Linked DNA regions of Sus scrofa. The protein of the gene in region 3 binds, or shares a complex with, the protein of the main gene of each other region. Links are inferred from orthologs where the notes say so. Each region holds a gene or a part of one and is shown on either strand. Other genes may lie near its edges.

What was found.
Region 1: SF3B2 (region 3) and CWC22 share a complex: the UniProt entries of both Homo sapiens proteins name them as parts of the minor spliceosome. The link is inferred for Sus scrofa from reciprocal best matches to the Homo sapiens genes SF3B2 and CWC22.
Region 2: SF3B2 (region 3) and SNRNP40 share a complex: the UniProt entries of both Homo sapiens proteins name them as parts of the minor spliceosome. The link is inferred for Sus scrofa from reciprocal best matches to the Homo sapiens genes SF3B2 and SNRNP40.

What each region holds. Positions count from the first base shown.
Region 1 is NC_010457.5:85,564,326-85,567,975, reverse strand, and holds part of CWC22 (pre-mRNA-splicing factor CWC22 homolog), read left to right. Parts: intron 1-1,251; coding exon 1,252-1,387; intron 1,388-1,477; coding exon 1,478-1,684; intron 1,685-1,771; coding exon 1,772-1,834; intron 1,835-3,650. UniProt on the Homo sapiens protein: Required for pre-mRNA splicing as component of the spliceosome. As a component of the minor spliceosome, involved in the splicing of U12-type introns in pre-mRNAs. Promotes exon-junction complex (EJC) assembly.
Region 2 is NC_010448.4:87,877,484-87,881,233, reverse strand, and holds the start of SNRNP40 (U5 small nuclear ribonucleoprotein 40 kDa protein), read left to right. Parts: upstream 1-1,610; 5' UTR 1,611-1,693; coding exon 1,694-1,837; intron 1,838-3,750. UniProt on the Homo sapiens protein: Required for pre-mRNA splicing as component of the activated spliceosome. Component of the U5 small nuclear ribonucleoprotein (snRNP) complex and the U4/U6-U5 tri-snRNP complex, building blocks of the spliceosome.
Region 3 is NC_010444.4:6,291,122-6,294,871, reverse strand, and holds the start of SF3B2 (splicing factor 3B subunit 2), read left to right. Parts: upstream 1-1,221; 5' UTR 1,222-1,276; coding exon 1,277-1,409; intron 1,410-1,567; coding exon 1,568-1,617; intron 1,618-1,917; coding exon 1,918-1,995; intron 1,996-3,076; coding exon 3,077-3,325; intron 3,326-3,520; coding exon 3,521-3,571; intron 3,572-3,750. UniProt on the Homo sapiens protein: Component of the 17S U2 SnRNP complex of the spliceosome, a large ribonucleoprotein complex that removes introns from transcribed pre-mRNAs.

The DNA.
Region 1 (3,650 bases), on a different chromosome or scaffold from region 3:
ATTTGGAAGTTCTCAAGCTAGGGGTTGAATCGGAGATGTAGCCGCCAGCCTATGCCACAGCAATGCCAGATCTAAGCCAAGTCTGTAACCTACACCACAGCTCACAGCAATGCTGGATTCTTAACCCACTGAGCGAGGCCAGGGATCAAACCTGTGTCCTCATGGATACTAGTCAGATTCATTTCCACTGAGCCATGGTGGAAACTCCAGTAGTATGTGTTTTTAATGTGGTGCAAAATGTGAAGAGGATATTTTCCTGAGTTGAAATTTAGACTTCATCTCTCTCCATCTCAAAAAAGAGTCCGATTTTAAAAAGCTAGTGTATAGTGTTTTGAACATGCTTTGTAAGTTCATTTTCTTTATTTTTTAAAAATTTTATGGCCACACCCACAGCATACAGTAGTTCCCAGGCCAGGGATTAAATCTGAGCTTAGCTCCCACCTACAGAGCAGCTGCAGTAACATAGATCCTTTTAACCCATTGCACCAGGCTAGGGAATTGAACCTGTGCCTCTGCAGTGAACCAAGCCACTGCAGTCAGATTTTTAACCCACTGTGCCATAGTAGGAATTCCCAAGTTCATTTTCATTTATAGCAAAACTTACCAATAGACTTTTATTCCCTCTTTAACTGGCATTGTTTTATGAAATCCAAAATTTGACCATAGTTAGTTGAGTTTGATTTAATTTTTTTAAAAAAGTGTTCAAAACTGTCATTGCATGCTACAAACTACTGGAAAGATATTTTCTGAGAAAATTAGTATTCATCTGTTTGCTAACAAAGTTGCTGATAGAATCAGTTGGGAAATGGATTTAGAGTTATGGTCATGAAGAAAGATACTATAAAAAGGAATTGTATTACTGTTCTTCATATAGTGATTATGAAAATACCTCTGATTAAAAATTAGTAAATTATTTTTTAACATTTTGAGGTTAATTTTGGCATTTCTTATAGATAACATTTCTTATATAGAGAGTTTAGGAAGAATATTTCTTCTGGAGATAAATCAAATAGTTGTATTCAGTGCAGTAAGTTAAGATTTTGGGGAAAAGCATCAGGAAATGTTAATGGATGCATAATGGAAGTGAAAGAAAAATTGTATCCGATATTTGGAGAAATTTTATGTATATTATAAGATTTTGCTTATTATCACTGCAAAAAGTAGATTTATAATTTTTAAAGTTACTCTCAGTAGTAGATTAATATATGTAAAATCATTTTGTCCATTCTGTCTGTCTTAAATCTATTTAAGGCTCATGAAGTTTTATGCTTAGAAATGCTCACTTTGCTCCTGGAAAGACCAACAGATGACAGTGTTGAAGTAGCTATTGGTTTTCTCAAGGAATGTGGTCTCAAGTTAACACAAGTGTCACCACGAGGAATCAATGGTAAGTATATATTCTTGGTTTGCTATTGAGCTTTCGTTTGAGTGTCACAATGTTTATTGCTTATTGTACAATCTTTCTGTTTAACTTTAGCGATATTTGAACGCCTTCGAAACATTCTTCATGAGTCTGAAATTGACAAGAGAGTTCAGTATATGATTGAAGTGATGTTTGCTGTACGGAAGGATGGATTCAAGGACCACCCTGTTATCCTAGAAGGACTTGACTTAGTGGAAGAAGATGATCAGTTCACTCACATGCTCCCTCTGGAAGATGACTATAATCCAGAAGACGTTCTTAGTAAGTTAGGAGTGGGTGTTGGGAAGTTTAGTACAAACGAATATAAATATTGAAAATAAACACTAATTAACTTCTTTCTTTTTTAAGATGTTTTCAAGATGGACCCTAATTTTATGGAAAATGAAGAGAAGTACAAAGCTATTAAGAAGGGTATGTAGAAATTTACAAAATAATTTATTTTGGATAAGTAGAAGCAATTTATGTAATTATATAGTACTGATAGAAAGTTATAGATCACAGACCCCTACCTCTTGAAATTTTTGTTCTTGAGAAGCTGTTCTTGTCAGTGTTTACCCATGTGTTAGTCTAGTGCTCATCTATGGTATTCATTCTAAATTAACTCATTTTTCCTCTCCTCTTTGTCTCTGTTTAAATTATACAACTCTTTTAAGTTTTGTCCTTCTTAAGAAATATTCATGTTTTACCAGTAATCTTTAACTTCACTGCCATTTAAAAATTACTGCTTAAATTGCCACCCAATTTAATATGCAGTTAAGTGCTATATGTTTTCATAAAGTTCTCTATTTAAATTATTTCTTATGACAGGTTGGTATCTTTCTAAAATCAATCACAGTGCTAGATACAGAATCGGTGCTCAGTAGATAATTAATTATTATCATTTGTACGTCATTAGTATATTGTAAGCACTAGCTTTGTACAGACATTGGTTTGTATTTTGTTTTTGCCATTACTAGCTAAGCGACCTAGAACAAGTTACTTGTTTGATGTAAGGGTAAATGTTACATGTTTGTGTAAGAATAAATAAAATACAGTGCTTTGTATTGCCACAGAGCATGTATTTAGACACTGATACTATTTTTTTCATATGTGTCATTATTTTTCTTCCAGAGCTAATATTCAGAGGTACTTATATCATTGCTTTTATTCTATTATGTAATTATTTATATTACTTCATGTATTTATATAATAATTTTATAGATTTATTTCCCTTGAGTTGTAATTTTACCTGGCAAATACTTATGGCTCTGAAAGCTTCTAGGAAGAGAGAGCAGAGACCTAGAAATCTGTCGTTGCTGCGTTCCATGCTTTAGTCATGCTTAGAACTGGAATGTTGAAAAGGAAAGTAACGGTGTAAGGAACTCCCCATTTCTATATGTTATCCCCAAAACCTGGTACAATATCTGGTACATCTCTCCTTAGATGCTGTTTTCCTAGGGCATTTCATTGCAACAGCCAGATTCATTTTTCTCTTAAAAATCTGGTTTCCAAACATGGAGAAACCCTTACACCCACTTTTTTCTTTTATTAACTTCTTTTTCTATAGTATCTCTAAAAAATGCTAAATGATTTTATGGAATTCTTGTTATAGCTGGCGTAATTTTTTTTTTTTTAACTTGGGAATTCCCCACCCATTTTTAGCCTCTTTGGCCGATACCAGGAAAGCAGTACTTTTCTTTACAATAGCACTTCTTAAACTCTCTGGTCTCAAGATATCTTTATGCTCTTGAAAATTACTGAGGATTCCGAAGAGTTTTTATTTATATGGATTTATATCTGTTGACACTTATTAAAAATTAAAACTGGAAATATAAAAAATTAAATCATTTCAAAATAATAATAACATATTCGCATATTACATATTTTTATGACAAAAACTACTTTAAAAAACAAATTTAAAAAGAAGAATGGCATGTTTTATATTTTGTACAGTTTAATGTCTGGCTTAATAGGAAACAGTTGGATTCTCATATCGTTCCTGATTTCAATCTGTTGCAATTAGTTGTTTTTATTAAAATATATGAAGGAAATTTAGCCTCACACAGAAATGTAGTTAGAAAGGGAGGAGTATTTTAATAGCCTTTTCAGAGCTATAATTGAGTGTATCCCTCCTTAATACTATGCCAGTTAATATTTAATAGCTATTAGTTTCTTAAAAATTTAATTGCATTATGAAACCTGAAATAATGTCCTTGAATTTTCATACTTGTTAACATGAAAATCCATT
Region 2 (3,750 bases), on a different chromosome or scaffold from region 3:
AGGCCAGCAGCTATAGCTCTGATTTGACCCCTAGCCTGGAAACCTCCATATGCCTTGGGTGAGGCCCTAAAAAAGAGACCAAAAAAAAAAGTTATGGCCATCATTGCAGAAAGTCACAACACCAAAAAGCTGGTGACTAAGAAACCCACTGCCTCTACTATGGTATTTGCCAGCAAAGGAGGATGCCTCTCACCCTCCTCCTTTCCCTTCCAATTCAATTCTCATCTTAGGTGCAAAGGAGTCTAGAAAATATCTACCTCTCAGTTCCACCAACACTCTATAGTCTTCATTGCTAACAACTCTCACCTCAGCGGTCTATTTGCATTTATCTCCCCTCCAATCTATTCAAACTACTGAGCCAGAAGGACCAAGCTGCCTCCTCCATCACACCACCTTCTCCACTGCAAAATACAAAATAAAACCTCAGTGATTTCCCATCAGTCTTAAAGAAAAGCTACAAATTCCTACACAGTCTGGCTTCCACTTGCCTCCAGCTTCATCTTGTACCACACTCCCCTTTATTCTCTTTGTCCTGGCAACACTGGCCTCTTTGTACCTTTTAGTCATTTTCCTCTCATTTGCCATTGGGCCTCTGCACATGCTGTTCTATATGGAATATTCTGCCCTCCTCTCTTCCCCCAACTAATTAGAATTCTTCCTTCAGGCATAGGTTCAGGCATCTTTTTGTTAGACAAGTCTTCCGGCTTATTTCTGGCACTCAAAACACCAGGTACCTTTCCCTGGCAGCACTTACTTTGCATTCCCTATAAAGATCATTGTTGAGCATCTGTTTTTCCCATCGGACTCAAAGCCCTGAGGTCAGGGACCATGTTTGGTTCACAATGTCTCCTCAAAGCTTTGCACCATAAATATCAGTTGAACGATTAAGGAGAAAACCTACTTCACAAGTATGAGTCTGAATTTCTCAGCCAAGACTGTGCTCTGGAGACCAAGAGTCGGACATTTCCTTCATCTCTCTCTCTCTCTCCCTCTCTCTCTCTCAGGGGCACAGAGCAGGCGCTGGTAAAAGGCTGCAGTATCACGGCAGAAAGAAGTCGGCCTCCAAAGTCTGAGACGACCCTGGTGGAGGCTGGGAAACTGACCTTTTCTCCCAAGGAGCACCTGGCACAGGGCTCGACACAGAAGGCGCTTGTTAAAGAAAGCAGCCGTCGAGGGCCCCAGGCAGGCGCAGAGACCCCACTGCTCTGCTCCAACCTAGAAAGGGAACCCAGGCCACCATACACCAAGAGCTAGGAACTCAGGGGCCCCCTCTGCCCTCTGCGATCAACCCTGGGCTGAGAGAGGCCAGCTTCAGACCACACAACGGAGGCGCCGCCTCCAGATTCCGCAGCCACCCACCCCCAACACTTACTCGGAGTTAGCGTCAGGTCTCCCCGCCGCAGCATTGCGCGAAACGCCAGAACCCAGTCAGCGCGCTTCCACCCACAAGACCCAGCGCGCCGAGGCGGGACTCCAGCTCGTTCCACCAATCCTGGAATCGTACTCTAGTGACATCAGAATGAGTTGCCCAATAACTGGAGACTCCCCAGGGGGCGGTGCAGAGGGGAGTATTGGAAGCCGATTGGTTTCTCCAAGCCGGAAGTTCTAAGGGAAAGACTAAGTCGGAGCCAATCGTGCGCTCCCTGAGGGTGTCGGCGCGGTCAGTGGCGGCCTGAGGAGAGCGGTTGCCGCCATGATAGAACAGCAGAAGCGCAAGGGCCCAGAGTTGCCTCTGGTCCCAGTCAAGCGGCAGCGGCATGAATTGCTTTTGGGAGCGGCGGGGTCGGGCCCGGGAGCCGGGCAGCAGCAGGCGGCGCCGGGAGCTTTGCTGCAAGCGGTGAGTAAACGAGCAGATGGCCTTCGGCCCTCAGCTCATCTTCCTGTCTCCTCAGTGCTCCACCGTGAGATCCCGTACCGGCCCTTTCCCTGCACTGCGGGGGCGGAACGGGACTCACACCAGGGAGTTAGAGCAGAAAAACCTGTTAAAGCGGTCAACACCCTGCGATGCTACGTTTCCCCGTTTGACGTTTCAGCGTCTCGATGGCCCTGTGAGGGGGCGTTAGAATTAGTGAGGGATCTTAAAACTGGGCCCCGGGCTTTCGCATCCTAAATCTTCCAGGGATCCAGCATAGAATAAACGTTCAGGAAAGTTGAAAGAGTGGATGGATGAATGAAGGAAGAAAGAAAGGAAGGAAATGAACGATACTAGCTCGCTTTGGGACTTGGGGCAACTTGCTTTGGGGAAAACTCTTTCTCTGCACTAGTATTAACAACTGAAGAATAGGTAACACTTATTGAGCCATGTACTAAGTGTTTTGTATATGAAAACTCCATTAATCTTGGTCACTGCCTAAGAGGTAGGAATTGTTAATTGTCCCATTTTGTAGATGGGGAAACAAACTTCTCTAATAAGTGATAGAAACCGATTTTAAAATCAGAATCCAGGCTTTTAACTAGAGTTCTTATAAGATAGAGGTAGTGATGGATGACATCTCTCCTTCTGCTCTATTAGGCTTAGCTGAAGAATATATGTCCCCTCCTGAAACTCCTCAATCAGGCTGTCAGCAAATCTTTGCTGGCACCATCCTTAAAATAAACCCAGATTTGTTACCACTTCTAAATATCTCCATCACTACCTCCTGATCTAAGCTGTTATTCTCTCACCTAGTATTCCTGCTGTAGGATCCTGATGGCATTCCTGTTTCTTTTCTCAGATGCTCATTCTATTCTCAGTCCAGCAGCCGGAGGAATCCTTCTAAACATCAAATCATGTTAACCTCTGCTGAAAACATGCCATGGCTTTTCGCTTCACTCAGAGTAAAACTAAAATCCTAACAACCTTTTGCCCTCTTTCCCTTGACCTCTCTGATCTACCAATTTTCCATTGCTCACCTTACTCCAGTCACATTGGCTTCTATGCTCCTACCACACACAAAGCCTTTGCATTTTCTTTTCCCACTACTGGAGTGTTCTTTTTCCAAATGTCCACCTGGTTTACACACTCAGCTCCTCCAAGTCTCTGCTCAAATATCGCTTTTTCCATGAAGGTTTTCCTGACCAACCTGTTTTAAATTGCATACCTGGGTACTCACTAACACATTGCTGTTTGGTTTTCTCCATGGTACGTACCACCACCATCTATACCTTATACTTGTTTCTGCCATCCCTCCCTCCTTTCTGTCCCTCCCTCCTGCTAGAATACAACCTACATTGTTTATTTTGTTCAACACTGTTTTCTCAATGTCTAGAACAGTGCCTGACACATAGTATTTTTTGAGTAAATGAATAAGCTGGAAACTACTGATGAGATTTAGGAATTATTAATAGTGTATTTGTTCTTTTGGTTTTTTTTCTTTAGGACAGCACCCATGGCATATGGAAGTTCCCAGGCTAGGGGTCAAACCAGAGCTACAGCTGTTGGCCTACGCCACAGCCACAGCAACTCAGGATCTGAGCTGTGTCTGCGACCTACACCACAGCTCACGGCAACGCCGGATCCTTAACCCACTGAGCTAGGCCACAGATTGAACCCATATCCTCATGGTTCCTAGTCAGGCTTGTTAACCACTGAGCCATGAAGAGAATGCCAGTGTATTTGTTCTTCCATCTGACAAGTAAGAATATCAGCTCAAGTTTCTGTGAATTGCCCAAGCCTAGGCTTAGTGGCTAAAACCGTAAACAAGACTACTTTCCTTAGTAACCTTGTACCCTGCAAGGTTGTTGGGAAGCTCAATTCAATCATTCATTCAT
Region 3 (3,750 bases):
GTCTAATTGGAGCTGTAGCCACTGGCCTACGCCAGAGCCACAGCAACATAGGATCTGAGCCACGTCTGCGACCTATGCCACAGCTCCTTAACCCACTGAGCAAGGCCAGGGATCAAACCCGCAACCTCATGGTTCCTGGTTGGATTCGTCAACCACTGTGCCATGAAGGGAACTCCAATTAAGCGCCTCTTTAACGCCAGGTACTGTGAGACAGTAAAAAGGATTCATGCCTTTTTTTTTTTTTTTTTTTTTTTTTTACTTTTTAGGGCTGAACCTGCAGCATATGAAAATTCCCATGCTAGGGGTCAGATCGAAGCTGCAGCTGCTGGCCTGTGCCACAGCCACACCAGATCTGAGCTGCCACAGCTCATGGCAACGCTGGATCCTTAACCCACTGAGCGAGGCCTGGATCGAACCCGCATCCTCAGGGATCCTAGTCAGGTTCGTAACCTGCTGAGGCGTAATGGGAACTCCAAGACTCATTTCTTTGGGGTTGGAAGTGTGGATAAGGGGCAAGAAAGACTTTAAAACAAATGACGGAGGTTTGGACGTGTTATGGAAGCTCCAGAGCAGGAAAGGAAGGCGGCAGGAGATGGCTCAGCGGAGATGACATTTGAGCTAGGAGATGACATTTGAGCTAGCCGGGAAGGTGGAAAAAGGGTCTTTAGTGTGGCCCTTCCCCCAGGTCGGCAGTTGGAGCTCAGCCCGGAGGGCCCGCTCCATTCCGGCTCCGATTCCCTTTCAGGCCATTCATCCAAGCCTGGGCCGGGAGTGGGCGGGCAGACAATCAGACACTGTTTTATCCCAGGCATCGGCTGCAACCTCCCGCCCGGCGCCCACAGCGCGCGGCCGCCCGGGGAATGAGTCCTCGGGAACGTCTGCGCCTGGGCCTCTCCCGCCTGAGCTGGAGTCGGGCCGGAGGCGGGGAGGTCTGCGCAGCGGTCAGCGAGACGCAGAAAGCACATCCTCCGCTCCGGACCAGCGGTCCCCACAGTCCCACCCCGGCTCCGGCCCCCAGCGTTCCCGGTACTGCGACGGACCACCCTCCTCCCAGAGGCCCTATCCTGTTGAGCCCGCAAAGACCGTGATCTGCGCACTACAACTCCCAGAAGGCTTCGCGGCCAGGCCGCCTAGGGACCATTGACGAATCGCAGAGGGTGGTCCGCCTAACCAGCCTCGAGCGGACGTGGCGTATGGCGCTGCCGGAAGTTCCGGGAAGCGGGCCGGGAGGCCGGCCCGAGCTTCCGGGTGGGTCGCGCGCCTTCCTGCGGCTAAGATGGCGGCCGAGCATCCCGAGCCTCCGAAAGGAGAGTTGCAGCTGCCGCCGCCGCCGCCTCCTGGGCATTATGGTGCCTGGGCTGCTCAGGAGCTTCAGGCCAAATTAGCGGAGATCGGCGCTCCAATCCAGGGTGAGGAGCACGGGTGGTCAAGGGCCGGAAAGTGTAGGCCCGCGGGGAAGCGGAGCTGGTTACCCCGGAGACCCGGGGGCGGAAGAGTTGGGGGGGGCGGGGGCTTGACTTGGGCCTGCTCCGCCTGCCTTACCCCGTTGATCCTGTGCTTTGCCCAGCAGGGAGTCGCGAGGAGCTGGTGGAAAGGCTGCAGACCTACACCCGCCAGGTAAGTGTTGGTGGGATGTCAGGATAGGCCGAGCTTTTGGAGGAGGCGGTTCGTGATCCCTCACGCTTCGTTCTTCGTTCTTGATGTATCTCGGTACAGCGAGTGAGGTCTTGCTCTTTTTGTCTCTTCTTGTCTTCTTTGTTGTAATCGTTTCTGTACATGCTGGTCCCCCCCCAGAACCCCGTCTGAGCTCTGGCAGACAGACCCTGGGTAAATTTTGTCGAACGGACACGAGCGAACATTGTTTAGCGGAACAGCTAGCTCCTTTTGGACTGACCTGGAGCCCTTTCTCTTTCGCAGACTGGCATCGTCCTGAGTCGGCCTGTTCTGAGAGGTGAAGATGGGGACAAAGCTGCTCCCCCTCCTATGTCAGCCCAGGTAGGGCGGTCTTCCCACTTGTTAGGATCCCTTTTTGCCCAGAGTAGCCCCTCCTCTCATATGGAGTGTGTGTTTGGAGGTTGCAACCAGCAGTTTGGGTGGTACTGTGATGACAGAATTGGGAACTCTTCAGTTCTCCCTTGGTCCTCATCTTTGCTTCCTTTGCTGTGACAGCTCCTCCAAATCCTACAGGTCCTTCAAAGTTCAACTTAAATATCTGTAAGCCTAATTTGATCGTCCCATCCTCCTCCAGGTAGAAGTAATTAACCTCTTTTTTTGCTGTCCCAGCACACTGTTCCCATGTTATTCAGTGACAAATTAGGGCTTCCTCCCTGATTTGATTCCTTTCTTTCTTTTCTTTTCTTGTCTTTTCTTTCTTTATTTCCTTCCTTCCTTTTTTTTTTTAGGGCCACACCCGTGGCATATGGAAGGTCCCAGGCTAGGGGTGGAATTGGAGGTGTAGCTGCCTGCCTACACCACAGCCGCAGCAACTCTGGATCTGAGCTAAATCTATGACCTGCAGCAATGCCAGCTCCTTAACCCACTGAGAAAGGCCAGGGATTGAACCCGAGTCCTCATGGATATTGATCGGTTTTTTAACTGGTAAACCACAATGTGAACTCCCGAATTCTCCTTTCTTGATGTGGCTATGGAGTGTTTTTTGTTTTTTTTTTTTTTCCTTTTTTTTTTTTTTCTGTCTCTGTCTTTTTAGGGCCACACCTGCAGCATATGAAGGTTCCCAGGCTAGGGGTCAAATTGGAGCTGCAGCTGTCAACTACACCACAGCCACAGCAATGCCAGATCCGAGCCACATCTTTGACCTACACCACAGCGCCTGGCAACACCAAATTCTTAACCCACTGAGTGAGGCCAGGGATCGAACCTGTGTCCTCATGGATGCTAGTCGGGTTTGTTAATCTCTGAGCCACGATGGGAACTCCAAGAGTAGTCTTTTTCTTGAATGCAAGAACTGTGTGTCGTTTGACTTTGAATCCCAGCACCTGGCTCATTGTAGTTCCCCAGCAAGTATTTGTAGTAGATCAGTGCCTCCAGTTAATGGTCATTTTTTTTTCCCCCACAGCTCTCTGGGATTCCCATGCCACCCCCGCCCATGGGACTCCCCCCTCTACAGCCTCCTCCACCACCCCCACCACCTCCACCTGGCCTTGGCCTTGGCTTTCCCATGGCAGTTGGACCCCGCCCTCCAAACTTGGGCCCCCCTCCTCCTCTCCGAGTGGGTGAACCTGTGGCACTGTCCGAGGAAGAGCGGTTAAAGCTGGCGCAGCAGCAGGCGGCATTGCTGATGCAGCAAGAGGAACGTGCCAAGCAGGTAGCAGCCTGAGCCTGGGGCTCATCAGGGTCCTGAATGGGAAGTGGAGCCTCAGAGGGAGCCGGATCCTGGGGCCTAAGGCTTCTGGGAAGGTCTGGACCAAAGACTAGAACTTGGGCCCTGGCTGGGAGCAGAGTTGGGGCCGACTGGCCTGTGGGATTTTGGTGCTGAAATGAGCTTGTTTTCTCTTTTAAGCAGGGGGATCATTCACTGAAGGAACATGAGCTTTTGGAGCAGCAGAAGCGGGTAATGCCTCCCTCATCCTAACTTTTGACCCCATGGTCCAGTCCATTGCCTGTCACTTTTATTGTTTAGTGTCTGAAATAAGAAGTACCATTCAGGAAAAGTTTTCTGACCCCTGTCAGTCTTAGGTGATACCATTTAGGTGAGGACTCGGGGGGTAATTGAGTCGTTTGTATCAGATT